4 linked regions of the Saccharomyces cerevisiae S288C genome follow. The protein of the gene in region 4 binds, or shares a complex with, the protein of the main gene of each other region. Each region holds a gene or a part of one and is shown on either strand. Other genes may lie near its edges. The genes, in order: HAT2, STH1, VPS75 and HHT1. A codon is read from its position in the direction of its gene.

What was found.
Region 1: the proteins of HHT1 (region 4) and HAT2 are in contact, whole or in part, in a crystal structure (PDB 4PSX), measured with the Saccharomyces cerevisiae proteins. Residues at the interface, in NP_009564.1 of Saccharomyces cerevisiae: Ala2 (codon at 4,207), Arg3 (codon at 4,204), Lys5 (codon at 4,198), Gln6 (codon at 4,195), Thr7 (codon at 4,192), Ala8 (codon at 4,189), Arg9 (codon at 4,186), Lys10 (codon at 4,183), Ser11 (codon at 4,180); in NP_010858.3 of Saccharomyces cerevisiae: Arg32 (codon at 3,489), Leu33 (codon at 3,492), Thr34 (codon at 3,495), Trp35 (codon at 3,498), Pro36 (codon at 3,501), Leu38 (codon at 3,507), His64 (codon at 3,585), Thr65 (codon at 3,588), Ser66 (codon at 3,591), Glu69 (codon at 3,600), Glu120 (codon at 3,753), Thr122 (codon at 3,759), Gly139 (codon at 3,810), Asn162 (codon at 3,879), Tyr164 (codon at 3,885), Asn212 (codon at 4,029), Asp213 (codon at 4,032), Glu229 (codon at 4,080), Asn255 (codon at 4,158), Thr256 (codon at 4,161), Met272 (codon at 4,209), Asn299 (codon at 4,290), Asn300 (codon at 4,293), Asn356 (codon at 4,461), Glu373 (codon at 4,512), Asn375 (codon at 4,518).
Region 2: the proteins of HHT1 (region 4) and STH1 are in contact, whole or in part, in a crystal structure (PDB 6KMJ), measured with the Saccharomyces cerevisiae proteins. Residues at the interface, in NP_009564.1 of Saccharomyces cerevisiae: Thr7 (codon at 4,192), Ala8 (codon at 4,189), Arg9 (codon at 4,186), Lys10 (codon at 4,183), Gly13 (codon at 4,174), Gly14 (codon at 4,171), Lys15 (codon at 4,168), Ala16 (codon at 4,165), Pro17 (codon at 4,162), Arg18 (codon at 4,159), Lys19 (codon at 4,156), Leu21 (codon at 4,150); in NP_012140.1 of Saccharomyces cerevisiae: Asp1267 (codon at 2,465), Asp1270 (codon at 2,456), His1272 (codon at 2,450), Arg1274 (codon at 2,444), Ser1276 (codon at 2,438), Ile1277 (codon at 2,435), Phe1278 (codon at 2,432), Pro1282 (codon at 2,420), Tyr1287 (codon at 2,405), Asp1289 (codon at 2,399), Tyr1290 (codon at 2,396), Val1293 (codon at 2,387), Ala1329 (codon at 2,279), Phe1331 (codon at 2,273), Tyr1332 (codon at 2,270), Asn1333 (codon at 2,267), Glu1334 (codon at 2,264), Gly1336 (codon at 2,258), Ser1337 (codon at 2,255), Trp1338 (codon at 2,252), Val1339 (codon at 2,249), Val1341 (codon at 2,243).
Region 3: the proteins of HHT1 (region 4) and VPS75 are in contact, whole or in part, in a crystal structure (PDB 3Q33), measured with the Saccharomyces cerevisiae proteins. Residues at the interface, in NP_009564.1 of Saccharomyces cerevisiae: Thr12 (codon at 4,177), Gly13 (codon at 4,174), Gly14 (codon at 4,171), Lys15 (codon at 4,168); in NP_014153.1 of Saccharomyces cerevisiae: Ala69 (codon at 1,091), Asn70 (codon at 1,088), Tyr71 (codon at 1,085), Ile72 (codon at 1,082), His196 (codon at 710), Ser199 (codon at 701).

Annotation. Positions count from the first base shown.
Region 1 is NC_001137.3:43,773-50,690, forward strand, and holds HAT2 (Hat2p), read left to right. Parts: upstream 1-3,395; coding exon 3,396-4,601; downstream 4,602-6,918. Other genes in the region: phosphoacetylglucosamine mutase PCM1, read left to right, coding at 1-1,153; SDD1 (Sdd1p), read right to left, coding at 1,248-1,949; POL5 (DNA-directed DNA polymerase), read right to left, coding at 4,699-6,918. UniProt on the Saccharomyces cerevisiae protein: Regulatory subunit of the histone acetylase B (HAT-B) complex. The complex acetylates 'Lys-12' of histone H4 which is required for telomeric silencing.
Region 2 is NC_001141.2:114,502-124,254, reverse strand, and holds STH1 (RSC chromatin remodeling complex ATPase subunit STH1), read right to left. Parts: upstream 6,264-9,753; coding exon 2,184-6,263; downstream 1-2,183. Other genes in the region: alpha-ketoglutarate dehydrogenase KGD1, read right to left, coding at 1-1,566; RRT14 (Rrt14p), read left to right, coding at 6,611-7,231; MET18 (Met18p), read right to left, coding at 7,351-9,753. UniProt on the Saccharomyces cerevisiae protein: Catalytic component of the chromatin structure-remodeling complex (RSC), which is involved in transcription regulation and nucleosome positioning. RSC is responsible for the transfer of a histone octamer from a nucleosome core particle to naked DNA.
Region 3 is NC_001146.8:180,251-186,849, reverse strand, and holds VPS75 (Vps75p), read right to left. Parts: upstream 1,391-6,599; coding exon 1,359-1,390; intron 1,264-1,358; coding exon 501-1,263; downstream 1-500. Other genes in the region: U2-type spliceosomal complex subunit CWC25, read left to right, coding at 1-504; CRS1 (cysteine--tRNA ligase), read right to left, coding at 1,672-3,975; DNA-directed RNA polymerase I subunit RPA49, read left to right, coding at 4,242-5,489; MPA43 (Mpa43p), read left to right, coding at 5,828-6,599. UniProt on the Saccharomyces cerevisiae protein: Histone chaperone which acts as a cofactor stimulating histone H3 acetylation by RTT109. Preferentially stimulates histone H3 'Lys-9' acetylation by RTT109. May also stimulate histone H3 'Lys-56' acetylation by RTT109. Assembles nucleosomes (in vitro).
Region 4 is NC_001134.8:254,513-260,540, reverse strand, and holds HHT1 (histone H3), read right to left. Parts: upstream 4,211-6,028; coding exon 3,800-4,210; downstream 1-3,799. Other genes in the region: YBR012W-A (gag protein), read right to left, coding at 1-672; inorganic diphosphatase IPP1, read left to right, coding at 2,566-3,429; HHF1 (histone H4), read left to right, coding at 4,857-5,168. UniProt on the Saccharomyces cerevisiae protein: Core component of nucleosome. Nucleosomes wrap and compact DNA into chromatin, limiting DNA accessibility to the cellular machineries which require DNA as a template.

The sequences.
Region 1 (6,918 bases), on a different chromosome or scaffold from region 4:
TTACATTACTGATTTGTCCAACAGGCGGAAACTGGAAGGAGACACAGCGCCAGTTGCCACAGAACAGGACTACTATTCGTTCTTTATAGGAGCCTTCAACGAGCTCTTCGCCACGTATCAGCTGGAGAAGAGGCTGTCTGTCCCAAAATTGTTCATAGACACAGCCAATGGTATCGGTGGTCCACAGTTGAAAAAACTACTGGCCTCCGAAGATTGGGACGTGCCAGCGGAGCAAGTTGAGGTAATCAACGACAGGTCCGATGTTCCAGAACTGTTGAATTTTGAATGCGGTGCGGATTATGTGAAGACTAACCAGAGATTACCCAAGGGTCTTTCTCCATCCTCGTTTGATTCGCTATATTGCTCCTTTGATGGTGACGCAGACAGGGTTGTGTTCTACTATGTCGACTCAGGATCAAAATTTCATTTGTTGGATGGTGACAAAATTTCCACTTTGTTTGCAAAGTTCTTGTCTAAACAACTAGAATTGGCACACCTAGAACATTCTTTGAAGATTGGTGTTGTGCAAACTGCCTATGCAAACGGCAGTTCCACCGCTTACATAAAAAATACGTTGCACTGTCCCGTGTCTTGCACTAAGACAGGTGTTAAACACTTGCATCATGAAGCTGCCACTCAGTACGATATTGGCATTTATTTCGAAGCAAATGGACATGGTACGATTATATTCAGCGAAAAATTTCATCGAACTATCAAATCTGAATTATCCAAGTCCAAGTTAAATGGTGATACGTTAGCTTTGAGAACTTTGAAGTGTTTCTCTGAATTGATTAATCAGACCGTGGGAGATGCTATTTCAGACATGCTTGCTGTCCTTGCTACTTTGGCGATTTTGAAAATGTCGCCAATGGATTGGGATGAAGAGTATACTGATTTGCCCAACAAGCTGGTTAAGTGCATCGTTCCTGATAGGTCAATTTTCCAAACCACGGACCAGGAAAGAAAATTGCTCAATCCAGTGGGGTTGCAAGACAAGATAGATCTTGTGGTAGCCAAGTATCCCATGGGAAGAAGCTTTGTCAGAGCCAGTGGTACGGAGGATGCGGTGAGGGTTTATGCGGAATGTAAGGACTCCTCTAAGTTAGGTCAATTTTGTGACGAAGTGGTGGAGCACGTTAAGGCATCTGCTTGAAAGCATTATTCGATGTATAGTATAGCTATTTAGATATACAGAGAGATAAATGAAAGAGAAAAAATATTGGTATCAATCAACGTTTGTTACAGGCTTAGACTTTGGTTTGGTAATTGAAATTCATGGTAGTGGAAATAAACAAAATTTTCCTCTTCAATTTTTTTCGTCGTTTCGCTCTGCAATCGAAAATCAAATAATCTTCATAAAAGAAATCACTTTCAATAAATGAACTTCTCACTACCATAATGGATGATGTGGCCGATTCGAAAGCAATACGGTTGATTAACACGGAAACCCCGAGTGATAAGTCACCAAAAAAAATTCTCTTTACGATGAATGTTCCGAATTTGTTCTCCTCTTTACAGTTTTCGTTGGAAAGGTATTTATATGTAATTTCCTTCAGAATTCTCTTGTTTTCTATGTTGGCATTGTCGAGATGAACCTGTTTCAGTATGGCATTGGGAAAAAGTGTAGCTTGTAACTTTAAAACTTGATCATGCAGTGTTGCAGCTAAATTATCCAGAGTAAAAATTTCCTCTTTGGAGTAAATGCCTAGCAAGTTTTTCAGCTGACTACTCCAACCTCGCCTGGCCCTGTGCTTTCTACTTACACAATCTTTGTGATTTGGTGGTAAGGTTTTTGGAAAATGAGGAAGAGTATCTAGTTGTTGGGTAATGTTTCTTTCCAAGAATGATATTTTTTTCATTATGACGTCAATTTCTTTAGAATAAGCCGAGAACTGTACAGTTTTAAAACCCTTTCTGTTGTCATTCCTCTGAATCCCATCATTTGCCATTTAATTTTCAATTTAGTTACTAGTCAATTTTCTTTTTCGCCTTTTGTATTCCATAATATGAATATAAGCTTGGGCTTGCCGATTTTCTCCGCTTAATATTAAGCCTACGCATGATGTAGGTTACATTTTGAAGGGTTTCTTTTAACTTCCTTACTTATTTATATATGTATGAACCTACACAAGGCATTTTACCCTTATTTCTTCCCGCAACATTTGATAAAAAGTGGAAGACGTTTGTGATTGTTATTATCGCCCCAATTTTCTCCTTTTTTTCTTTTCCTTCAACGTCAATCAATTGCACATTCAGCCGATTGGCTTTCTTAGCGCAGGATAGGGTGTCGGGGATACCTGTGGGAAGTTAGTGACACTTTTTTTTCCACTCTCTTCATGGAATCCCCGGACGGCAGCCGCCCGTCCCAATTTTGGCAAAATTGACATCCTAACTGCACGAATTCTCATCGCGTATCAGAACTCTTGAGCCTTCAGTTTTACTACTCAATGCTCTGATTTATCTATATATACATAAATGAAAATAATACGTGCGCATTTATAAGACAAAAAGTTAGAATTCTGACCACGATTGCATGCTGTAGATAATTGTCGTGTTCATTCTCTCTTTAACGGCGCCTCAAGAAGAATATAAAATAATTGCTCTTGCAGTCTCAATGAGTCGGTATGTTCAAAGTGGTGCCCAACATTTACTAATATTGGACTGCGGTACAAAATCGGCGGCTAAACTGTCTACCGATAAAATACTCTTGATTTATAAGAATGAAAAAGAAAACAAAAAGGGATGACCCCTGAAAAAGTTTGTTTTCTTTACCCTTTTTTATGTTAAATTTTACATTTATTACCGTTTACGTCAATCGCAATATACAGGTGGGGCATTGTTATTTGATTTCATAATCTGGTGAGAACGTTATCACGCGGATTATTTAGTTTTTTTAAACCATGTGCGAAGAAATTCTCATATATTGTAGGCATTTCTGACTCAAACTTCTGCTGCTTAAAATAGCTGTTTTCACCTTTTTTTTCCTCTTGTTCTATTTGACATGCTCCCTTTCTTCCTCGGTCCTTTCAACCATTTCCATGCTCCTGTAGGCTCAGGAGCAGAGCGAGGAAAAAACTTCCCTACAGAAAGCTTTCATGTTTTTAACCGGTTTCCTTTCAGCTTTTTCTTTTGGAGTAATCTAGAAAGATTAGGTCATTTGTTCAGTCTATTTGATACTTGATGAGTAGCTCGTCTGTTCTGTTCAAAATAACAATTTGTGAGGTGTACGGATGTTTTCACTGGCATTCGTCGACATGACAAAGACAAACCTTGAAAATAATAATGGAGAATAACTAGAAAGACGTTACTATGCCTCTAATACTTCTGCCTCTCTTATCTCTCCTATCAATTGTGGTTAGCCTAGTAGTCACCAAATAGCAAATTACCAATCAACTATGGAAAACCAAGAGAAACCGCTTTCTGTAGACGAGGAGTACGATTTATGGAAATCCAATGTTCCATTAATGTATGACTTTGTTAGCGAGACACGTTTAACATGGCCATCTTTAACCGTCCAATGGCTCCCTACTCCTGTTCAAGAATTAGATGGTGGCTTTATTAAACAAGAATTAATCATCGGTACGCACACTTCTGGTGAAGAAGAAAACTATTTGAAATTCGCAGAAATTAATCTACCAAAGGAAATTCTTAGTAATGAAGACCCACAAGAAGAAGCAGGAGAGGAGTATCAGTCCTCTCTACCTGCTCCTAGGTCAAATATAAGGATTACCGCTAAATATGAGCACGAAGAAGAAATCACTAGAGCCCGATATATGCCTCAAGACCCTAATATTGTCGCCACAATAAATGGGCAAGGCACAGTTTTCCTCTATTCTCGCTCAGAAGGTCTTCAGTCAACACTAAAATTTCATAAGGATAACGGTTATGCTTTATCATTTAGCACTTTGGTCAAAGGGCGATTGCTTTCCGGCTCAGATGATCATACAGTCGCTCTCTGGGAAGTGGGGAGTGGCGGTGACCCTACAAAACCAGTACGAACTTGGAATGATTTACATTCTGATATTATTAATGATAATAAATGGCACAACTTCAATAAAGATCTATTCGGCACTGTTTCAGAAGATTCTCTCTTAAAAATAAATGACGTCAGGGCAAACAATACTACGATCGATACTGTGAAATGCCCGCAACCTTTCAACACATTAGCATTTAGTCATCATTCCTCAAACCTCCTTGCGGCCGCAGGTATGGACTCGTATGTTTATCTATATGATCTAAGAAACATGAAGGAACCATTACACCATATGTCGGGTCATGAAGATGCAGTGAACAATTTGGAATTTTCAACCCATGTTGACGGTGTAGTTGTATCCAGCGGGTCAGACAATAGATTGATGATGTGGGATTTGAAACAAATTGGAGCAGAACAAACACCTGATGACGCGGAAGACGGCGTTCCTGAATTGATCATGGTCCACGCAGGTCACAGAAGTTCAGTGAATGATTTTGATTTGAACCCTCAAATACCTTGGTTGGTAGCAAGTGCTGAAGAAGAAAATATTTTACAAGTTTGGAAGTGTTCCCATAGTCTACCCATCGTGGGAGGTCCACCAAAGGTGAACAAGGATATAATAAGCTAATATATAGTTTTTTTATTGTTTCTTTGGCGAAAAGGCGTAATTAAACAAAGATCAACATACATAATCCGATTTTGAGGAGTGATAAAATATACTTAGATTATTCCTTATCCATTACAGTTTGCTTTTTTGAAGATAGCCAATTGATGAAATCAATAAAAATGTTAGGTCCACATTTTCCTTTTTGCATCCACTCTTTGGTAGTTGCAGTATACAAGTCAATCAATTCGTCAAGCTTGTCGTTACCACCGATTTCAACGTATAACTTACTCAAAAACAGTGAGCTGGTTGAGCACATTGAATAAAACACTGCAGCATGCTGACCTGGCTTAGAAGTCAGCATCAGCTTGTGTGTTTTTTTCAACAAATCCATAAGCTCGATGTCTTTGTTCATGTCTTTGAATGCAGTTACTTTTATCTTGAATATTTTACCCTTCAACAATTTAGAAATTTTGTCGGCAAGTGGCCTATCAAGAGTTTCATTGACACATTTCAGCATTGGGATAATAAAATAAACGAGCTTGCTTAATGAGCCTCCTAAATTGTTGGAATGTTCACTTTTATTAGCAAGAGTCAATTTTTCACAATATTTGACGTAAACGGCTAACATGTCGACAACTCTATGCTTGAACGAGATAACGTTTTCCCTAGATTGTTTTACCTCAAATTTCCTCTGGTTTCCAGTAGATATGCTTGATAATGCTTCCTTACGACGTTTGAAAATTTCGGATAACTGATCATCTAATTCCATCATTTTTTCATCATCCATAGACTCCTCATCTTCATCGTCTCCACCGTCGTCAGAAAGCCCTTCGAGTTGGTCTAAGTCAACTTCCCCTTTATCATTAACTATGTTATCGGGTAAATTTAACGCCTTCACTAAGGCGCTAGTGGCCTCTTTATCAATATTCAAAATATCTTCATTTGCCTCGTCTTCTTCATCTTTTTCATCAGCATCATCGCTATCACTCTCACTTTCACTTTCACTTTCACTACCAGTTTTCGATTCGTCTTCACTGGCATCATTTTCTTCCTTAATTTCTTCAAATTCTTCTTCTCCTTCGAATAGCTGGGCAAAACCTTGCTTGTTTTCTCTCGCTTTTAAAATATCTAATAAAATTTGCAATTCTTCCAAACCAACTTCTTCAATAAACTGCTGCCAGATTATTAAACTCAATTTCCTGAGTAAGGCCTTCTTTTGGGCTAAAAGTGATAGTAAGATTTCAGTGATGCCTACCATTGAGTTATTCTCGTGTTTGGAAAATTCGCAAAGTTCTTCGATCACAGAAATAGAATCGGTGTCACCTGCATATAATTGTACTAAGCACATAGATAACAACGTGCTTAGACCCCAAGATTGAGCAGTTCTTGATCTGCAAACTTTACTCAAGCAAGATATAGCTTCGTTTTTTATATTTTCTAAATTTTCGTCCAGTGGATTGATTAAATCTCCTACATGAGAATTTTCAATGTCCAGTATTAACTTTAATGTCAGATATTGCCATGAGTTTATTTCAGGATCTTTGCAACGTATTTCTTTGTTTATTGTCAACTCTCCCAGGATGGAATAAAGTCTTTCCTTGGCTAATTCGTGTAGCTGTTCTAACTTCAGATCATCTGATGTATGTTTGAAGAAAGCCATATATACGATGGGTCTCAACACGGGCTTCATTATGTCCATGTCATTGATTTCGACTTTGTGTGCACGAACTATATGAAGGATGGAATCAAGAGCAAAAAGGGTATGAGATAAAACTCCCTTTTTATCTTGTAACTGTAGAAAAAACACATCGAGTAATTGGGCAAGAACAGTAGAAGGTAATTCTTTAATTGCAATAAGTTTGGAAACGGTGCCAGATTTTGTTAACTTATCAAAGTTTATGGAACCGTGAGGACCAAATAACATTGCATTTAAACAAGGTACTAGTCTGTTTGCAGAATCTTCTTCACAAGCCTTCACTATGGAGTCTAAAGTTAACTGGGAAATCTTATTTAAAACTCTTTGTGAATCTATTGATTGGTTGATCAATGTTCTCATAACGTTTTGGCTGAAGCAAAACCCGATGTACGAGCCAGGAACTGCCTTGAAAGCCGCGTCGATTATTAGAAAGCCTAAATATTTTCTTTCACTAGAAGCTTTCTCATTGAAAAATGATTCGTCCACGGCCATTTTCCAAAACTCTGGAAATTGAATTGAATTCTGAACCTTTTTATTGTTGGTTTTCTTCCTTTTCTTCGAAATATGACTAGTGTTCTCTAATTTTCCATTACCAAACAACGGTAGCAGAACACTCCAAACAAAATGCAGCCTAGGGTTCCA
Region 2 (9,753 bases), on a different chromosome or scaffold from region 4:
GTACATTAATGGTTGAGTAAACGATGGCTGATCGGTTTCATTATGTCCATGTTTTCTCCAACCAACGACATCAATTATGGCATCTGTGTGGAACTTATGTCTCCATTCTGCGGCTAAATTGAAAATAAAGGTCACAGCTTCCACGTCATTAGCGTTAACATGGAAAATTGGGGCATCAATGGCCTTAGCCAAATCGGAAGGATATGGTGTGGACCTTGCAAATCTTGGATCCGTAGTGAATCCGATCTGGTTGTTTGTAATAACATGAATAGTACCACCAGTAGAGTATTCTGGTAGGGTCAAGAAACCCATGGTTTCATAAACAACACCCTGCCCAGCAAAAGCAGCATCACCATGTAATAACACACCTAAGGCCTTTGTTTTTTCCTTCAAATCGTTCTTGGCATGCAATAAAGCTCTAGTTCTACCAAGAACAACTGGATCTTGGGATTCTAAATGAGAAGGATTTGCCACCAGCGATAAATTGACGTACTTACCAGACGTAGTTGGTCTTTGGTAGTTCATACCCAAATGGTACTTGACATCACCCGATCCTTCAATATCATCGCGAGCGCTCGAACCCTTAAATTCAGAAAAAATAGATTCATTTGGTTTACGGACCACATTGGATAAAACGTTCAATCTACCACGGTGAGCCATACCCAAAACAATATCTTCTACACCCAATTCAACAGAACGATCAACCAAAGTTTTAATACCTGGAACAACACTTTCCAAACCTTCTAAACCGAACCTCTTATCATTTGGAAATTTTGTAGATAAGAATGACTCAAAAGAAGTGGCCCATGTTAATCTATCTAAGATTTGTCTCTTTTGGTCCACTGTATATTGGTAAGGTTCAGGAATCTCAATTCTCTCTCTTAACCAATCACACTTTTGCTTAGATGGAATATGTGTGTATTGTACCCCATAAGAGGAACAATATAACTTTTCTAGATGATCCACAATCTCTTTCAGAGACATTTTAGATTTCCCGTCCCTTGCAAACCTTGGCAGGATACCAGGTCCTAGGTTGATTTCTTTATCAAGATCGTGTTTGCTAAAGCCGTAGTAGTCTAGAGTCAATTCCGGAGGAACAGGGTTATTTTTATTACTACCAAATGAGATCCCTAAAGGATCTATATGGGCTTTTAAATGACCTCTAACTTGGTAAGCTCTACATAGCAATTGCACTTTTAGATGAATGGAGACGTTCTCATCTACTGAACCAGTCATTGCGGTCCCTAAGGGAGCTGCTTCGGTACCCTGGGGAAAGTTACTGATACTGGGAGGAGCCTGAAAAGCCTTTGTAGCTGGAATCTTTGGGTTAGACATATTCTTGAAATATGCGTCCCATGAAACATGGACTGAAGATGGGTCTTTTTGCCAAGCTTGGTACATTTCATCGATATAGGTGGCATTTGATGTCGATAGAAAATTATCTGTACCAGTGGTGGCTAACCCTCTTCCGACAATTTTGACAGTAGATGCATTTTTAAGTAAAGATGTTTTTAATAGTCCTCTTGAACTATACCGGCAGGTTTGCGAAGACACGAACCTTAGCATAACGGTAAAATTTAGTATTTTCTAAAAACTGCTTTCTTTCTCTTTTGTTGTTTCTTTCAAACGAAACTTTAATTTGGGGAAATTAGGAAGAAGTATGATGCTGAACGAGAATCGCTTCCTTCTCTCTTCCTATCTATATTCAGCTGCTGCGACTATGTGACAGAAACAAAATTGAGGGCGAAAAACAAACAAGATATGATCTTATTAAATAACACACGGGTTTGTTAAAGTATAAATAGTACACACCCAATGAATCTAAACCGTTATCGTAAATCGGACTTACATGTAGGTCTTGACTCCCGCAGTCCCTTTGCCAATCATTTATGTGTAATGCCTCTTTCTTATTTGCAGAGGCCCCTTCCTTAGCCCCGGAATCGCAAACGGTCGAAGCTAACTGGTCCATCGCCGCCGGGTAATTATTTTGCGGCACTAATAAGCCCAGAGAATAAGCCAAAGGATATTAGTTACTCAAAGAATTATATTCGCTCTGTCGATCTTATTGTTACAGTGGTATATATTTTATAAACATATGTAGAGGTAGAAAAAAAGGCTAGAAAGAGTATTAGAGGGGAAAGGGATATAGTCGTAAAAAAAAAAAACATGTGGTGATGAAAACGTTACGAAGAGTGTTCCTTGAACCATTCATCAGTAAACTCATTTAACTTGTCAGCATCAACGTAAACCCAGGATCCCTCTTCATTATAGAATCTAGCATTTTCAAACATCGTTTGTAAGGCTTGCCTTACCTCCTCCAAAGTTTTGTAAGTGCCATTCTTGCAGTTTTTCAATATAATATCAATGGCCATGGGTTTTTCAATTACTTTAAAATAGTCCGGATAGTCGCGTTTCGAAGGAAGCTTTTCAAAAATGGACGTCCTTGGATGGGAGTCTACCTCATCTAACTGTTCGCGCATTTCTTCCACCAATTTTTCCACCGTGGGAAAAATCCCAAGCGACTTGGATTTAGTTTTAGTTTTTTTGGCTGCAGTCTTCTTCGCGGGCGATTTACTCTCTGGCTTTTCTTCTGCTCGCTTACCATCATTATTCTCCAACACAGTTGTTTTGTTTAGTTTGATCTTGACGGTCAGTTTCGGTTTCTTTTTCTTGGATTCTGAACCATTTATAATTTCAACGGAGCTACTTTTTACTTCCTCTTCCACCTTAGCGCCCCCGTTTTCTTGAGATGTACTCTCTTCTTGAGTATTCTCTTTGTCTTCTGCCGTAACAATGCTAATGGTCCTTTTCTTTCTACTACTCCGGCGTTTTGACCTGGAAGCTGTAGTCTCTTTATCAGCATTAGTTTCCTCATCCACAGCTGCAGTGAAGCTATTGTTCTCAATCAATGAAGTTTCGGATGCTTCAGGCGTGTTTTCCAGGGTTTCTATTTCATTCTCTTTTGTACCATTTTGACGTAATCTCCTTCTTTCACGTGCTTCACGTCTTTTTTTAATGGCATCTTCTAAAGACATATTATCATCTTCTACAGCCTCCAAAAATTGTTCTTCAGTTAGACCGTCATCATAGTAAACTCTTTTCTTTTGTCTAATCCTTCCCAATGGTTCAGAATCCTCTTTCTTGAAATGTTCTTCAATGTCTTCTCTGAATACTTTGGGTAGCTCGTCTAATTGAATCAATCTAGGAGGAGGGACTCTCAGGCCTTGCGCTTTAGCATCTGCTCTTTCTTGGTTCATTCTCTCCTTATCAATTTTATCAAATAGTATTTTTTCATCAGCGCTTCTGGCCAAAGTATCGTTTAACTCATCGTCATCTAATTCTGCTTTGTCATCATCATCCCTGTTCGTTTCACTTTCGATCAATCTTCTCAAAAAAGCTTCTTGCTCTTCTGCAGTTGATTTGTTATCAAACTTACCTGCCTGGATAACCTTGCCGTCAATGTCCAATTTCTGCATAGCTCTTTCCAAAATAACTTCCTCTACGGAATCAGTGGTAATTAATCTTAAAATTCTAACCTCATTCTTTTGTCCAATTCTGTGAGCTCTATCTTGGGCCTGTAAATCTTGGTGTGGATTCCAATCTGTATCAAAGATGATCACCGTATCTGCAGTTTGTAAATTCAAACCCAAACCACCGGCTCTAGTTGACAAAAGGAAACAGAAATAATCTGAATCTGGAGCATTAAATGCATTCAGCATTTCTGTTCTTTCTTCAGTCTTAGTGCTACCATCTAATCTCATATACTTCAAATCTTTCATTCTTAGGAAGTCTTCCATAATATCCATAACTTGAGTCATTTGGAAAAACATTAGCACTCTGTGGCCTGAGGCTTTGAATTTCGGTAGCACTCTATCCAGTAATTCAAACTTGCCCGCTACTCTGAAAAGTAAATCACTATTACCTCTTGAGGGGTTTACAACACCTTCCACTTCATCAAATACGAATGGATGGTTGCAGATTTTTCTTAATTGCATAATCTTATTGTTCAAACCTTTAATACCACCCTTTGTAGCCCCCTCAGTCCCTGCACCAACAAATAGCGCGTTATGCTTTAGCATTTGCTGATATAACTGTTGTTGCAAACCAGACAGTTTACATTTGATAACTTTTTCCACTTTATCAGGCAAATCCTTTTCCACTTCCTTTTTCAAACGACGCAATAAAAATGGCCTTAACACCTTATGTAATCTTCTAATAATTAACAGAGTTTCTTCTTCCGTTAATTCTAGTTTCTCTTGGGTACCGGTGTTGGCAAATGGAGTATTAAACCAATCTTCAAAAGTCTTCGCAGAATTGAAAATTTTAGGCAAAACAAAGTTCAACAGTGCCCATAATTCTGGTAGATTGTTCTGCAAAGGAGTACCCGTTAAAATCAATCTGTTTCTTGTACGATAATAATGAGAAATTGTGAATGATAACTTCGATTGAGCATTTTTCATTCTATGACCTTCGTCAATGATCATATGAGCCCAATCATGTTTTGATAAAAGAGATTTATCTTTAATAATATACTCATATGTTGTCAATAAGACGTCAAAATTTCCAACCCTTATTTGATGCTGTAAAGAGTGTCTTTGATTTGGTGTACCTTTGTATATAATAGTGTTTAAGCTCGGAGCCCATTTTTCAAATTCTAAAGTCCAATTGGTTATTGTGGATAAAGGTACAATGACTAGGAAAGGGCCGATGTCTTTCTTAACTTCATAAAGATATGTTATTAGAGAAATAGATTGGATGGTTTTACCTAAACCCATCTCATCTGCTAGAATACCGTTCAAATGATTATTGTACAACGACACCATCCATTCTAAACCTCGTAATTGATACTCTTTTAAAGTGCCGCCAACAAGAATAGAAGGTTGTTTATCAATTTTTTCTTTGATCCTATGAGCGACTTCATAATAGTCAGTCTTTTCTCTTTCTTCATCTGTAATTGGTTGGACTTCCTCACCATGAAGAATTTTTGCTTCGTTTTGTTGTGCTCTAACAGCCTCCGACAAAGAATCCAAAAAGGAATTAGTCTGCCTCAATAACTGTGTAATTCTAGTATCCTTAGTTTGATCTAAAAGCTTTAAATAAGCCTCCTCATCGTTAGACTTCAAAGCAGCTAAACGTTGCTTAGCAGTTCTTTCTATTCTTTTCTGTTCATCTTTCTCCATTTGATTGTGTAATGAAGCGCCTAATCTACCGAACTGAAAGCAACGTTCTTGACGAGACCATTGCTCGGACTGCCTTTCTTTGATGAAATCAATGATGCTGTTTATTTTTTGTAAATGTAAATTACGTTCCTTTTTTCTTTTTTCCAATAGTTGTTGCCTTTCTAATTCTTCTGCCAAACGAACGGTTTGTGGGACAATAACTTTGCTTCTAATTTGAACAGATCTTTGTGCAGCTGCTGTGAAAGGAGAATCACGTAGATATGGAATATTGTGGTGTGCCTGGCTGGCAACATTGTTGATTAACTTTTGCCTAATCGATTTTTGTTTAGTTAGTAGCTTTAAACTTTTCAATTCCACAAGAGCTTTGATTTTGAAAGTATCCATTCTGGACGATAAATCATCTTTTGTAATAAACTCTAAACAATCATCTAGTGAGTATGTACCCAGATTGGCAGGTAATCTTTCCAGCTCGTTAATTCTGTTGGATATACGTGCAGAAATCCTTATTTCGGTATCTGGATCGCCCAATGCAGTCTTCGTAGCGTTAGAAAATTTTGATTCTAAACCCAAACTTTTGGCCTTCGCATTGAAATCTGCTGATATTTTTATTGGTTTCTTTTCAGAATAGTCTACTTCGATCGCCGTAGTGTTATCGTTCTTGGTGTCTGGTAAGTCTAAGAAGTAGTCAGGGACATCTGTATCTTTCTCCAGTAACTGTAAGGCAACCAAGTGTTTATTCAATAAATCCTCATCGTACTGAAATCCTTTATCTATACTCTTTCTCAAGGTATCCAACTTTGTTTCGTAGATATCCTGATCACGTGATATATTCCTAAAAGTGTCTTCTATTGCCTTGATCTCCAACTTGTTTTCCTTTGGATGGTTTTGAATAGCCCTATAGCGGTAGAGTAGCTGCTCCAACTGTGCACTACTCCTCGGCTTTGGAATAGTGATTTCAGGTTGTTCCTCGGACCCCAGCTTTCCATTTGTTTCAGAGGCTGCAGCAACCGCAGCCAATGCGGCAACTGTTGTAGGTGTATTATTCATCACCGTGCTCATCAACTCAGATTGTTCCTGAAGCATTCGCGCTTGCTCTAAACTGTGCTGCCTCTTTGTGTTGTTATTTCCACCAAATTAGCCGCTGATTGCCTTTGTTTTTCTCTATACTCTTTTTCCTCTTAAGTTTCGTTTTCGTTATTGATAAACTTTTTCTTTTCTCAGTGCCAAATTGGTGTCTTCTTTTTTTGCCACGGGGCGGGTACTAGATAGTCACGTGAATGTATACACGTGACCCTAATGCTCTTTGAAAAATTTTGCGATGAGCTTTAACTAAGGAATATGGAAATATAGCTGGCAACTGTGGAAATATTGTTTTGTGGAAAAGTTGTTTAGAATACGAACAACTTAAGGAGGGAGCTAGCTAGGCCAAAATGTCATCTTCGCTGAGCCAAACATCTAAATACCAGGCCACCTCGGTTGTTAATGGACTGCTATCAAACCTTTTGCCTGGCGTTCCCAAAATCAGAGCTAATAATGGCAAAACAAGTGTAAACAATGGGTCAAAAGCTCAGTTAATCGACAGGAACTTGAAAAAGAGAGTACAGTTACAAAACAGAGACGTTCACAAAATTAAAAAAAAATGCAAACTGGTCAAAAAAAAAAAAGTTAAGAAACATAAATTAGATAAAGAGCAACTTGAACAACTGGCAAAACACCAGGTTTTGAAAAAACATCAACATGAGGGCACATTAACGGACCATGAGAGGAAGTATTTGAATAAGTTAATCAAAAGGAATTCTCAAAATTTGAGGTCGTGGGATTTAGAAGAGGAAGTACGAGATGAGCTTGAAGACATTCAGCAATCCATCTTGAAGGATACAGTTTCCACTGCGAACACAGACAGGAGTAAAAGAAGAAGGTTCAAAAGAAAACAATTCAAGGAAGATATCAAAGAGAGCGATTTTGTTAAAGATCATAGATATCCTGGTCTGACACCGGGTTTGGCACCTGTAGGACTAAGCGACGAGGAAGACTCTAGTGAAGAAGATTAAACGTAATAAAAATAAATGCTATTTTGCTGTACTATACATAAAAGAATCATATTTACTTAGTATACTCGCTAAGATTTTCACGTGCTCATCAATGTGAACAAATTATTAAATACAAGCGTTTACTCGAACGGGATTTGGCCTAATTCATAATAAACCTGTCTTGTGTCAACGCATTGCTTTCTTATTATTCTTTTTTTGTCAGATAAAACTGGTATTAAAGCGCTTAGAACATCGTCCTGATAGCTCAAACAATAGTTTAGAGGTACTACAGTCGTAATCATTTCTAGAAGCTGTAAGGCTATTAACCTGACACTGACACTATTATATTTGTGCGGAAGCGAAAGAGATAGTAATAATGGAACTATTGTGCTTACGTGTTCAGTAATTAAAGTGTGATGTTTATCCGTAGTGTCCTTCAGAGTTTCTAAAGCGGATACCCTTACTTCAGGATCAGGCATATCCAAAGCCTGCAATAAAAGCGGGAATAAATCGTTGATAAAAGGACCAACCGATTGGCTTGGAGTATGCTTCAACACTAAGGATAATGCAGTTAAATAATTGCATTTAATGGTCATGTCCACGGTATTTTTATAGTTGCTGACTAGTGTTTGAAAAATGTCACCGAAGAATTTTTGTTTGTACAAGATTTTAACGTTATTATTCCAACTGATACCTTTAAATTTCTTCAAAGAACTGATATCCATGACAAAAACTTCGAATAGCTTCGATACAAGTGAGCCAATCTCTTCATTAGACAGTAAATCAATAAACTTTTTTGCAATTTCTGATGACTCTAATGAGTTTTGCATTATCAGCCCTTTAGTCAACCAAACCATCACTTCAAGATTAATTACTGATAAGTCTTTCCAATCGAATAATCCTATCACATCTTTTTCAGAGACGAATTTATTTGATAAGACCAACAGCAATTCCAGGTATCCTAATTTTTCAGTCTCCGTCATTCTTGGAGCATGTTTTTTGAGTAGTTGAACCGTTCCGAAAAGCACTGTAAATTTTTGGGGGAATTGGCAGTTTTTATTTAGTGCGGATAATATTTTAGCATATGAAATAGCCAATACATTCGGTGTGTCTAAGATTCTTATCTTACCTTCAGAAATGAAAAGCTCGTTATATCTGTCTAGTTCTTCTTGGTGTGCAGCCTGTGGAATTTTCAAATTGGTGAAGAAAAGAACGTTAGATAGAAGTGTCAAATTGTAATTGTCACTTACAATGGCCGATTCCTGAGTAATTATCTCAAATAATTTTGGCTCAATGGCATTCTTGAGTGCAAGAGCATCTTCTTCATTTAGCACGTTCTCATTTTGATTATTATTATTAAAAAGAGAATATATGGTTGAAATAAGTAGAAAGCAATATTCTCTGGATTTCGAAATTTTAGCTACCCTATTCAATTTTGTCGCTAAAAATGTAATGCTTTCTTTGACCAAAATATGTCTCGAAGTGGTGAAATCAAGAATAATCTTCAAAATTGTTTCAATGTGAATATTTTCCTCATCATTTACTCGAATTTTTTCCTCGAAGCAATCAGGTAACAAATCCAATAATTTCTTCAATGATATTTCAAAAACTAAATCCTCATATATCTCACTGATTGTCTTTAACCCTTCCAAACAAGCATAGTAAATGTTTTTGTTGTTATCCGTTAATATTTCTTCCGTGAAGTATTGAATAATTAGTGAAACTTCCTCTGGGGTTAAAAAGCCCTTCATTTTAATCATTTTTGTGAATTGAATCACAGATAGAGTCCTTATGGTAACCTCTGCCTTGGAGCTTCTTGTCAAGGCCATGCTCAAAATCATTATGATCTCGTCTTTGTATTCAGCCATTTTATTATTTGGCACCGGTGTTCCCAACGATTCTTTAGATGTTCTTCCAAACAAATCAATGTACGAGTCAACAAAAAAAGAAAAATTCATAATCAGCAGCTTAAGTTTGGCAACTTCAGATGTATTGATCAAAAATAAGGGGAAAGTTGACGAAATGACCTTGTTAAATATCTCGACATTCCCACTACCTATAGCGGACAAAATCTGGCAGGTTTGCTTCAAATCCTTTTCATATTTAAAATTTGGTTTCAACTCATCTAATACATGAGTGAAGAACTTTTCAAATGATACTTTGTCAAAATTGTATAGTTGCAATGCCATTAGATTAATAATTTTCAAGCAAGCATCGTAGTTAGTATATTGGCCCACATCATCACTCTGTTGGTCTTTATTGTACGGATTTAGTAGAGTGTTTTCATTTCCTTCGCTGTTTTGCATAATTTCAAATTTCAAAGCGTTCCAAAGTAACGTCCAATTTTCCAATATAGAAGAGCCGCCGAATTTTCTAACGCATTCTAATAGCGTCAGAAGTGTATCATTTTTCACTACCGGTGAAGAAGCAGTGAGTTTGTCCAGCAAATTGCTATAAGCATCTTCGGCAAATAATGGCGTCGCAGTAATTGCTGATCGCAAAGCTGTTTTTAAATCTTGGTTGGAGATCTTGTAAGGATCATG
Region 3 (6,599 bases), on a different chromosome or scaffold from region 4:
AATCCCAAGCTTATGAAAAATAGAAAAAAAGTATGGGAGACCGAACAGGATCTAATTACCGAACAGCAGAAGCTTAACACGCGATTGAAAGAAATTGAAAAAGAACGAGAACTAAATGAACTGCTGAACGAATCGAGCAAGGATAAGCCGGAGACTCTCAAGAATGACTTGGCTTTGAAGAAGTCGGGCTTGGAATGGATGTATCAGGATGCAAAACTGAGTGACGAAAAGGAAGACTATTTATTAGGTAAGAAAAAACTAGATTCATCTATACTAAACCAACCTGCAACACCGCCTGTAAGGGCGGCCACTACTATTTCCGCTTCTGGTGCCGCAACATCCATAAGTTCGCAGAAGAAGAAGTCAAAATTGCTTAAAGATGATCCAATGAGTAAGTTTAAGGTAACTAAACAACAAAGAAGAACTCCAGACTCAACAAAAAAAAGAGCAATGTCGCAACGAGGGAAACCGTTGTCCAAGCCCGCTCCGGACCTAGACTACTAAACTTTCCTTTTCTTAGAGCTTGGTTCCTCGTCGGATAGTGGCAAGTCCACCTCACCGAGACTGCCATCGTCATCCTCGCTGTCGCCATCTGCGCTTAACCCGGATTCTCCTTCTTCGTCTTCCAAGTCCCTCTGGGCCTCAGCATAGTACTTCACACAAAAAGGGTAGATCTCTTCACTGAACAATGACGCCAATGAGTCGCCGTGCGGGAACTCCTTCCCGGGTTTTAGGCCGGTCCATCTGAACCAGCCAAATATGGTTTTCATTCCCTGTCTGTACTTTTTTTTACCCTCTGGACTGCGTTTGTCTTTGATCAAGTCCGGGTTTATCGAGTCGTAACTCTGGGGCCACTCAATTGGAACGGGCTCACTAGTCAGTATCCCGTCTTCTTGGTCATCTTTGCCTTTTTTGATTTGGAACACCTTGGTGACTTGCTGCTCTTTGAAGTCTCCCTCAATTCCATGGAAATGGAATGTTATACTAAAATCTCTAGTGTCGTACATTTCAGACTCCAATGCCAGCCATTCTACTTTGATCTTATCTATAGTGTCAATGTATTTAAAATCTGAAGCCCTTATGTAATTCGCAAAACTAACGTGTTGTGAAAGCACAATTTTCCAGAACTCTGCAATTTCGTCAATATACGCGTCCCTCTTTTCATAAACAGGCTTCATTTTGTTCAATCTGTATAATTCTACCTCACGTTCAATAGCGTCCACTTCTTCTTCGCATTTAGCCAATCCTAAGAATGCTTTTGCACTGACCATCTACCGCACTTGCTAAGTGCATATTGTTAGTATAATGGGTTGCTTTATTTTTCCATTTCATGCCCTGCAGAGCTCAATCCTACATACTGCTCGTTCTCGTTTTCTTGGTCACTCATCATTGGCAGTGTTATGCTTCGAAATGTTTGTCGTCAACATCAAGCGCCTAATCATTAGGATGCTTTTCTTCCCTTTTCTCACAAGCGCAGTGTTTGATTTTTTCAATTTTTTCCGCCTGGAATTTTTTCACATTCCAAAATGAAAAGTACATATATAATACAATTAATTATATTAGTTTTTTCTTTCCTCCTTTCCTTTTTCACTATTTTAACGTAAAAAAAGATGGTATATACATATATACGTACTTTTGAATAGTTGCACACATAACGAAGCCACGAGTATTCTATTTGTCTTCACCAAAGTACTCTTCATGTAGCTTCTTTTGTTGTTCCCATTGCTTCTTCAACTTCTTGGTCATACTCTTGGTGATATCATTACCGTCTTTGTCCTTTGTTGGAAGGCCTTGCTCGTCCCAAGCACTGTACAATGTGACATCCTTGAACATATCTTGTGGTTTAATTTGAGCTTTCTGCTTCCTCTCGTTTTCCTTCTGCTCTCTTAATTTCTGCTGTTCCAATTTCTTTTGTTTCTTTGCTAGTTCGTTGGCATGTTTCTCCTCGTTTAGCTTGACAATTTCCAATTTTTCATCGTTAGTCAAAAATTTGATCAAGGCAGATTGTCCATTCCTATCATCCAAGGCAACATTCAAGTTTAGCAAATCTTCGTTTCTAATTTTATCCGTTAATTGCAAGAATTCCTTGGGTTCGGCTTTCTTGATAGCTAAGGAACGTACATCATCTCTAAATGTGGATAAACACTTAACATATGGCATAACAGTGTCTTCCAATGAGCCTAGGGATCCATCGTTGGAGCCAGCTTGGGCTGCCCAACCCAAATTGTCAGGACGGGATGGAAATCCAATTATTCTTAAGATTTTGGTGATGTAGCTACAGATAGCAATCAAGGGCTCAATTTTTAAAGCAGCACCTGCAGTGGTAATGTATGTGTTTGACTTGGTCACTAATTCGCTCAGTGTCTTCAAAGCAACAGGTGTGGATAAATTATCACAGAACGCCGAATGGACTTTCGATTCACTTTCAACAAAATCAGCCAATAATTCTTTCTCTAAGGGACTAAACTTTTTAGAGATATGACCTGCAGAAGCTGCATCGTTCTTCAATGCTCTAATAGTCTTAAAAAAATTGTTCATGGAGTTTTCAAATGACTTTACTTCATGGATCAAAGATTCCTTGAAATCCAATTGATTGTTCCATTGTACTGAGGCAAAAGCCAATCTTAATTGGCGCGGTGAGAATTTTTTCAAAGCTTCTTGAATGGTAATGAAATTCTTTAAGGATTTAGACATTTTTTGACCCTCAATATGTAAATGGCCCGTATGTAAGAAATAGTTGATCCACTGTTGATTGTCGAAGCGAGCCTCGGATTGAGCCAATTCGTTATCATGGTGAGGAAAGGCCAAATCGATGCCACCTGAATGAATATCGATGTTAGAGCCTAGGATATCACTGGCCATCACAGAACATTCAATATGCCATCCTGGTCTACCCTTACCCCATGGTGATTCCCACTCAGGTTCACCTGCCTTGGAAGCCTTCCATAAAGCAAAATCATTATTCGACTTTTTTCCGTTATCAGCAAAGTTGCTTAAGGACCCTTCACCATCATTAATTAAGTCTAACTGGCCCTTATTCCATGGCTGGCATTTAGCATAGTCATGATTTGGGGATTTGTCAAATTTTAAAGTATCAAAGTACACGGAACCGTCGGAAGTGGCATATGCGTAACCATTATCAATAATTTTTTGAACAAAGTCAATAATTTCTGGAACGTACTCAGAAACACGAGTTGTAACGGTGGGAGGTAGCACGTTTAATGATAACATGTCATCATTGAATTTCTGTTCCCAGTAAGCTGGAAGTTGGCGGAAAATCTCTGGATTGCTAATGGTAGAGCCCAATTCTTTATCCAATAGAGGAACCGTAACGTCCTTGACTTTTTCAAAGGCAACTTCTGCGTCCATGGAATCGCCCTTAGTGATTGATTCAATAGCATTTTGAACTGCGGTGACATGCATAGGGAATTTAGGATTCTCCAATTTTAAAGTTTCAGTATCAGCATTCGATAACCAAGTTTCAAATTCTTCGATAGTTTTGATCTCGCTGCCTTGAATAGTAAAATTTTTGTTGATATATTGGAAAAGTGCGGTTTTGACCTTGTCAACAACAGTGGCGTTGAATTTGGTATCATTTTCTTTGACAAAATTGTCAAATAAATAGTTTTGTCTAGCTCTCAAAATAATTTTATCGTCGATATCAGTAACATTTTGCACAAATTGCACGTCGTAACCAAAATAATCTTGAATAATTCTTCTATTGATATCAATAGAGACATAGTTTCTGGCATGACCCATATGGGAGGCATCGTAAACAGTAGGACCGCAAGAGTACCAAGTGACACCTCTATTGCCAGATTGCGGAATGAATTCAACCTTAGATCTTGTTAAACTGTTGTACAACTTCAACACAGTTTCTTTAGCTTGTGGCGTTGGAACCTTCCATTTGGGCTGCACAATCTTCGGCGTAGACATTATAGTATATCTTCTCAGGGCTTTTATGAAGATATTCATGCATAGAATAAGAACTTGACCGGACACCTAATCACCGACGCCAATTAGCAATACTGTTCTTTTCAATTGATAATGTCTTTTGACTCTTCGCGATGAAAAATGTTTGCGGTCACCCGCGCTGAAAATTTTTTATTGCGATGAGCTGAAATTTTCCATCTCATTTTTAATAGTAAGTATTCTTGCATGAACACTAATGATATTAGGAGGGCTTTTTAAGTTGCTACCACTATTGCAGTCGTTATCAACCTTTTGCACTTTATCTAGTAATGTCCGTGAAAAGGTCTGTTTCTGAAATCGAAATTGAAAGTGTTCAAGATCAACCCTCTGTTGCCGTGGGAAGTTTCTTCAAGGGCTTCCGTGCTCCCAGTGACACTACGTTCGACTTATACAAAAAAAAGAAGTCTGAAAAGGACGAATTCGTATTACACGGTGAAAACGAGAGACTAGAATACGAAGGTTATACTGATTCTTCTTCCCAAGCTTCGAACCAGTATGTTGTGGGCCTATTTAATCCAGAAAAGAAAAGTATTCAACTCTACAAGGCTCCCGTACTTGTTTCCAAAGTTGTATCCAAGTCAAGCAAGAATCTAAGGGGTCCAAAAATAAAAAGTAAGAGTGATACTCGTCCATCTGCTTTGAGAAATGCGTTGGGTGAAGCGTTTGGTACTAAAAAGGCTAAAAAAGCTATTGCAGATCTAGAAAGAAACCGTATTGACTCTGATAAGTTGACTGATTCTGCTATTGACATTGTGGATTCCGTGAGAACTGCATCTAAGGATTTACCAACTCGGGCTCAATTGGATGAAATTACTTCCAACGATAGACCTACTCCATTAGCCAATATCGATGCCACTGATGTAGAACAAATTTACCCAATTGAAAGTATAATACCAAAGAAGGAATTACAGTTTATTCGCGTTTCATCAATTCTGAAAGAAGCGGATAAGGAAAAGAAGTTGGAATTGTTCCCATACCAAAACAATTCCAAGTATGTGGCAAAGAAATTGGACTCTTTGACACAACCTTCACAAATGACCAAATTACAGCTACTATACTACTTATCACTATTACTGGGCGTATACGAAAATAGACGCGTGAATAACAAGACGAAGTTGTTAGAAAGGTTGAACAGTCCTCCTGAAATCTTGGTAGATGGTATCTTAAGCAGATTTACCGTGATAAAGCCTGGACAGTTTGGAAGATCAAAGGATCGCTCCTATTTCATTGACCCACAAAATGAAGATAAAATCTTATGCTACATCTTGGCAATCATAATGCATTTGGATAACTTCATTGTTGAAATCACACCCTTAGCACACGAATTGAACTTGAAACCTTCCAAAGTTGTCAGTTTGTTCAGGGTACTTGGTGCTATTGTCAAAGGTGCCACAGTGGCTCAAGCTGAGGCTTTTGGCATTCCAAAAAGTACTGCAGCTTCTTATAAAATTGCCACTATGAAAGTTCCATTTAAGCTACCTGAAATGACAAGAAGAGGAAGAGGTCCAAGACGTTAGAGTTACCTAGAGGTATATACTGAGCATTTGGTTTGCTCTGGTTTTTTTTTTTGCTAGATGGTTCTATAAAGCAGCAAAATATAAGACGGTCCTCCTGATGAGAGGAAGAGAAAAACAAAAATAACTACATAGATATACGCTATTTTTTCTGAGAAGATACATATGTACAAATAGATATTTTACAATAATTTTAAACTTCGCAATAAATTCAATATTAATTCATAGCGTAGTTCGGCTTTCTAGCACCTTAGTAAGCTGAAATTTAAAAATGTATCAGTTTATTTTTTTCAATAAAGGTAACTTTAAATGAGAAACCAACGTGTTATATAGGTGAAATCATGAATAGCAGTCTGCAAGTTGGCATCGGAATTGATGTAGGTTCATCAAGTGCTAGAATAGGTGTATATAATTACTACAATGATGCGCTGTTAGAAATGGCGCAGGAACCAGTCCCATACTACCAGGATTCTTCAAAGAAGTCATGGAAATTCTGGCAAAAATCAACTGAAATAATTAAAGCCCTTCAAAAGTGTCTTCAGAAACTGAACATTAGAGAATATGAGGTAAAGTCATGTGGTGTTTCTGCAACGTGTTCATTAGCTATTTTCGAAAGGGATCGCACAAGTAACATGCTGATACCGTATCCAAATGAAGATAATGTCATATTTTGGATGGACTCTTCTGCCGTAAACGAATGTCAATGGCTAAATATGCAATGTCCACAACAGCTTTTGGATTATTTGGGAGGAAAATTTGTACCCGAAATGGGCGTCCCCAAATTGAAGTACTTTTTAGATGAATACTCTCATTTACGAGACAAACATTTTCATATCTTTGATCTTCATCAATACATTGCTTATGAACTGAGCCGCTTGTATGAATGGAACATTGAAGGACTTTTGGGAAGAGAAAATCTTAATGGTATAGGCAATGATGGAGAGGTATCTGGCTGGTCATCTTCATTTTACAAAAACATTATAAATTTACCATCTAATGTAAGCATTGGAACCACTAGTCTTGTTGCCAATAAGCACATTTCGACAACTGTAGTTCGCAGTTGTATTGACAGTTATGCAAGTTGGTTCGCAGTTGCTTCTCCTCATTTGGAAA
Region 4 (6,028 bases):
AAAAGCGTTATACAAGAAGGTGAGTTCATCATCAGTGATCGGACGTACGGGTTTTCCGTTTACTGTCGGAATAATACCACCGAGATTCGAGTTTTGTAAAAATTTGATGTATGTTTTAACCCAATTTGGAAAGTCATTAGGTGAGGTTAACATTGGTGGTGGTCTGACATATTTTTTAGTGGATGTCATATCAGAGTCCGCTGAGGATGAATCAGTAAATGTATTACCTGACTCAGGTGATGGAGTGCTCAGAGGCGTTCCAACTGATGATGGATACTGCGGAAACTGTGATTGTGGCCCAGGTGGAAAGTACATAGGCGACATTTGATAAGGTGTATACGGAATCATAGATGGGTGTCCGTAAAATGACCAACCAGATGGATTGGCTTGGTTTTGGGTCATCATGCACTGCTGTGGGTACGGCCCATTCTGTGGAGGTGGTACTGAAGCAGGTTGAGGAGAGGCATGATGGGGGTTCTCTGGAACAGCTGATGAAGCAGGTGTTGTTGTCTGTTGAGAGTTAGCCTTAGTGGAAGCCTTATCATATTCTTGAATTTTGGAAGCTGAAACGTCTAACGGATCTTGATTTGTGTGGACTTCCTTAGAAGTAACCGAAGCACAGGCGCTACCATGAGATATATGTGGGTAATTAGATAATTGTTGGGATTCCATTGTTGATAAAGGCTATAATATTAGGTATACAGAATATACTAGAAGTTCTCCTCGAGGATATAGGAATCCTCAAAATGGAATCTATATTTCTACATACTAATATTGCGATTATTCCTCATTCCGTTTTATATGTTTCATTATCCTATTACATTATCAATCCTTGCACTTCAGCTTCCTCTAACTTCGATGACAGCTTCTCATAACTTATGTCATCATCTTAACACCGTATATGATAATATATTGATAATATAACTATTAGTTGATAGACGATAGTGGATTTTTATTCCAACAATTACTTTAACATGAATAAGCTCAAAGTAAGCCAGAACAATTACCTACAAAGAAGTGATTTCTATAAATTCGAAAGAAACGGCACTGAATGGGAATATATATTTGCATCAAATTCAGCTTGTCTTGATTATAATAATAATACAGCTGTTAATAATGATATAATTTCGTCACTTAATTATTGCATCAGTGATGACAGATATTATGAAACTGCAGCGATGTGTGTGGTTTTGAAATTATCTCAAGATTGCTCTTTTGATGTGAGGCTTCAACGAAGTGGAAATGGGCCATATAAGAATATCTGGGATATGCCTTGCGGAGAATTACAACAACACATTGGTTACAAAAATGGTATATGCTATAATAGTGAAAACACGGTGTTATCGGCAGTAGGTGTAGAACATCGATATCATAAAAGTGTTTCTCGTCTATAAGATAAATTTGTTGGCGGTTATAGTTCGAAAAAGTGTATTGGACATGTTATAGATCAGAAAAACTTGGATAAAAATTGATAAAAGAAAAATGAACCACAATACCTTTACATAGTATTTTAACTCATTATCCTCGTGAAATATATATATATATATGGATATATATGGAACTTTGTTGGAATGAAATTTTAATATCATCTATTTCGCAGCACTCATGTTACTATTATATCACATGCGGTGTAAGAGGATGGCATAAAGATTGAGAAACAGTCATCCAATCTAATGGAATGCACGACACAATAATGAGTGACAACATATAAAAGGAAGTAAGATACAATAATATTATTATGTATAACTATCGATTTCCTTTTGTGGATTCCTATATCCTCGAAAAGAACTTCTAGTATAATCTGTGTACCTAATATTACAGCCTTTGAAAACAATGGAATCCCAACAATTATCTTATTCCCATAATTCTCATATACAAGATACAAGGGAGAAGTAAACAATGGATACAAGGAGAAATATGGCGCTAAAGGCTGATTTAATTGGATTGTTCGATTCGAAGTCGCTCAATAGAATTTGATGGCTCCCTCAGAGTGCGGTTCAAATCATTCGGATACTTTGAAGAAAGGGTAATATATTGTACCTTTGAACATGAGTTCATGAGTTGAAAAAGGTAAAAATAATCTGCTAAAATGATTACTCTTCTCTAAGAATGTGGTCTTCCCCACCCACGTGATAGTAATACATAGGAACCGTTTTACTGAACGCTACATTACCCATCAATATAATATCATGATTTAGCCGCCGAATTTTATGTAACTAAAAGGTTGCGGGACTTTGAAGCCCAGGTAGAAGTGTTTCATTCACAGAAGGAGATGCCAATGTGCTATTATTATCCCTGTGTGGCGCACTATTCAAACGGATTTGACTGTTCTTCAAAATATCGTCATCGCAGACGCTAAGGTTGTTGGGAGAAGCCACAGTCATTAGATACGATAGTCTCATGATGACTTTTTCTCGTTTTTTTTCGACGTTTTAAGGTCGCGTCGAAGTTAGGAAGGTTAGTTCATTTACAACTTGTTTTTGAATACTTACTTTCTTAATCATCTATTTTGATTTGTTGTCCCTTAGGTCTATAGAACAGGATATCCCGCCGCGCAATTTACTAATGACCTACACTACCAGACAAATTGGTGCCAAGAACACCTTGGAATACAAAGTTTATATCGAAAAGGATGGTAAGCCAGTTTCTGCCTTCCACGACATTCCCTTGTACGCTGACAAGGAAAACAACATTTTCAACATGGTTGTTGAAATTCCACGTTGGACCAACGCCAAGTTAGAAATCACCAAGGAAGAAACTTTGAACCCAATCATCCAAGACACCAAGAAGGGCAAGTTGAGATTTGTTAGAAACTGTTTCCCTCACCATGGTTACATTCACAACTATGGTGCTTTCCCACAAACTTGGGAAGACCCAAACGTAAGCCACCCAGAAACTAAGGCAGTTGGTGACAACGATCCAATTGATGTGTTGGAAATTGGTGAAACTATTGCTTACACTGGTCAAGTCAAGCAAGTTAAGGCTCTAGGTATCATGGCTTTATTGGATGAAGGTGAGACCGATTGGAAAGTTATTGCCATTGATATTAACGATCCATTAGCCCCAAAATTGAACGACATTGAGGATGTTGAGAAATACTTCCCAGGTCTGTTGAGGGCTACTAACGAATGGTTCAGAATTTACAAAATCCCAGATGGTAAGCCAGAAAACCAATTTGCCTTCTCCGGTGAAGCTAAGAACAAGAAGTACGCTTTGGATATCATCAAGGAAACACATGACTCCTGGAAACAATTAATTGCTGGTAAGTCTTCTGACAGCAAGGGTATTGATTTGACCAATGTTACTTTGCCTGACACCCCAACCTACTCCAAGGCTGCCTCTGATGCCATCCCACCAGCTTCTCCAAAGGCAGATGCTCCAATTGACAAGTCTATTGACAAGTGGTTCTTCATCTCCGGTTCTGTTTAAAATATTTTGAATTGAAAATGAGACACCTACCACGTATGCGGCTTCAAGTTGTTTAATATGTAGCTATATATCGATTATATAACTGACTCATGAATGAATATCTTCCTGCTGCAATTTTTCTTTAACCACATGGAAAGCCATAAATCTTGCCTCCTACAAGGCCTGGCTTTTTTCGAGGGTATCGCCAGGAAAAACAAATCAATAAATGTAAAACAAATAGAACCCTATTTTTTTTTATTAAAACCTATATTTTTGTAATAAAAAATAACTATTATACAACTGTTAAAGAACCCAGTAAACCTAAATATATTGATTTATATTTTATTGTGTTTTTGTTCGTTTTTTACTAAAACTGATGACAATCAACAAACTATGATCTTTCACCTCTTAATCTTCTAGCCAACTTGATATCCTTCTTTTGGATAGTGACACGCTTGGCGTGAATGGCAGCCAAGTTGGTATCTTCAAATAAAGAGACTAAGTAGGCTTCGACAGATTCTTGCAAGGCACCGATGGCAGAAGATTGAAATCTCAAGTCGGTCTTGAAATCTTGAGCGATTTCTCTGACCAATCTTTGGAAAGGCAACTTTCTGATCAACAGTTCAGTAGATTTTTGGAATCTTCTGATTTCTCTCAAAGCAACAGTACCTGGCTTATATCTGTGAGGCTTCTTAACACCACCGGTAGATGGGGCGGATTTTCTGGCAGCCTTAGAAGCTAATTGCTTTCTTGGGGCCTTACCACCAGTGGACTTTCTTGCTGTTTGCTTTGTTCTGGCCATTGTTTGCGTTTATATATTTATGTTAGATGTTTTTCTTATTAACTAGAAAGAAAGAATATAAAAGGTTGAGGAAAGAGATGTATCCCGAAGAATACACAGTCTTTTATATATGTATTTCAACAAGGAGCCGTGGAGGGTACCAAAAAGAAAAATCGCCCGGGCATTTCGTTATCTTCCACGCTAAAAGTCAAGGAGAGATATTACGGCCAGGATCGCAAAGGTGCAGAGCAAGGAAATGTGAGAAATTGTGAGAACGATAATGTATGGGACAATGCGAAAATGTGAGAACGAGAGCAAAAATCTTTTTTGTATCTCCCCGCCGAATTTGGAAACCGCGTTCTGAAAACTTCGCATCTTCACATAGTAAAACTGTTCCGAGCGCTTCTCCCCATAATGGTTAGTGGTAAAAACCGAAGTTGTTTACTTTAGCAAATGCCCGCGAATACGGTGGTAAATTGCCACCCCCCCTTCCCCATTCATTGGGTAAAGACCAATTTGATGGATAAATTGGTTGTGGAAAAGGTCTAATTCTTTTTCCTATAAATACCGAGATATTTTTTCTATATGATGGTTTCCGTCGCATTATTGTACTCTATAGTACTAAAGCAACAAACAAAAACAAGCAACAAATATAATATAGTAAAATATGTCCGGTAGAGGTAAAGGTGGTAAAGGTCTAGGTAAAGGTGGTGCCAAGCGTCACAGAAAGATTCTAAGAGATAACATCCAAGGTATTACTAAGCCAGCTATCAGAAGATTAGCTAGAAGAGGTGGTGTCAAGCGTATTTCTGGTTTGATCTACGAAGAAGTCAGAGCTGTCTTGAAATCCTTCTTGGAATCCGTCATCAGAGACTCTGTTACCTACACCGAACACGCCAAGAGAAAGACTGTTACTTCTTTGGATGTTGTTTATGCTTTGAAGAGACAAGGTAGAACCTTATACGGTTTCGGTGGTTAATTTAGCTAATTCTAAGAAAACGGTAACAACAAGCAAATATTTGGGATTCGTATTCAACTGCCCGGTTTTTCTTCTACAAATATGAGTGTATTATAGCGGGTTTAGGAGAAATATGTACAATTATAAACATATAAAGGGTATTTAATTTAATTTTAATTGGGTTTAAACAGTTTGATTATTTCTGCTACTTACCGAACTTGCATGGAATAGGGATCGCTTGTCTGTAACTTACACGCGCCTCGTATTTTTTAATGATGGAATAATTTGGGAATTTACTCTGTGTTTATTTATTTTTATGTTTTGTATTTGGATTTTAGAAAGTAAATAAAGAAGGTAGAAGAGTTACGGAATGAAGAAAAAAAAATAAACAAAGGTTTAAAAAATTTCAACAAAAAGCGTACTTTACATATATATTTATTAGACAAGAAAAGCAGATTAAATAGATATACATTCGATTAATGATAAGTAAAATGAAAAATCACAGGATTTTCGTGTGTGGTCTTCTACACAGACAAGATGAAACAATTCGGCATTAATATCTGAGAGCAGGAAGAGCAGGATAAAAGGTAGTATTTGTTGGCGATCAAAAGGAACATTGATACTCCATATACTGATGGCCGGCAATTGTAAGCCCATTGACAACAGAGAGAACAATATTACTAGCACATTTTCTGCAATATATTATGCTAAACCTCTGATGCTGACACACGCTACCGCGTATATGCGCGGAAAGGTCTCTTCTGTATAGAAAATTCTTTGAGGTTCGCTTCTTCATTTTAAAATACGTTATGATGGTGATTACTAAGTATAGGAATGCCCTGCGCTTTTTCTCTACAATATTTCGCATCACTAGTTTTTCC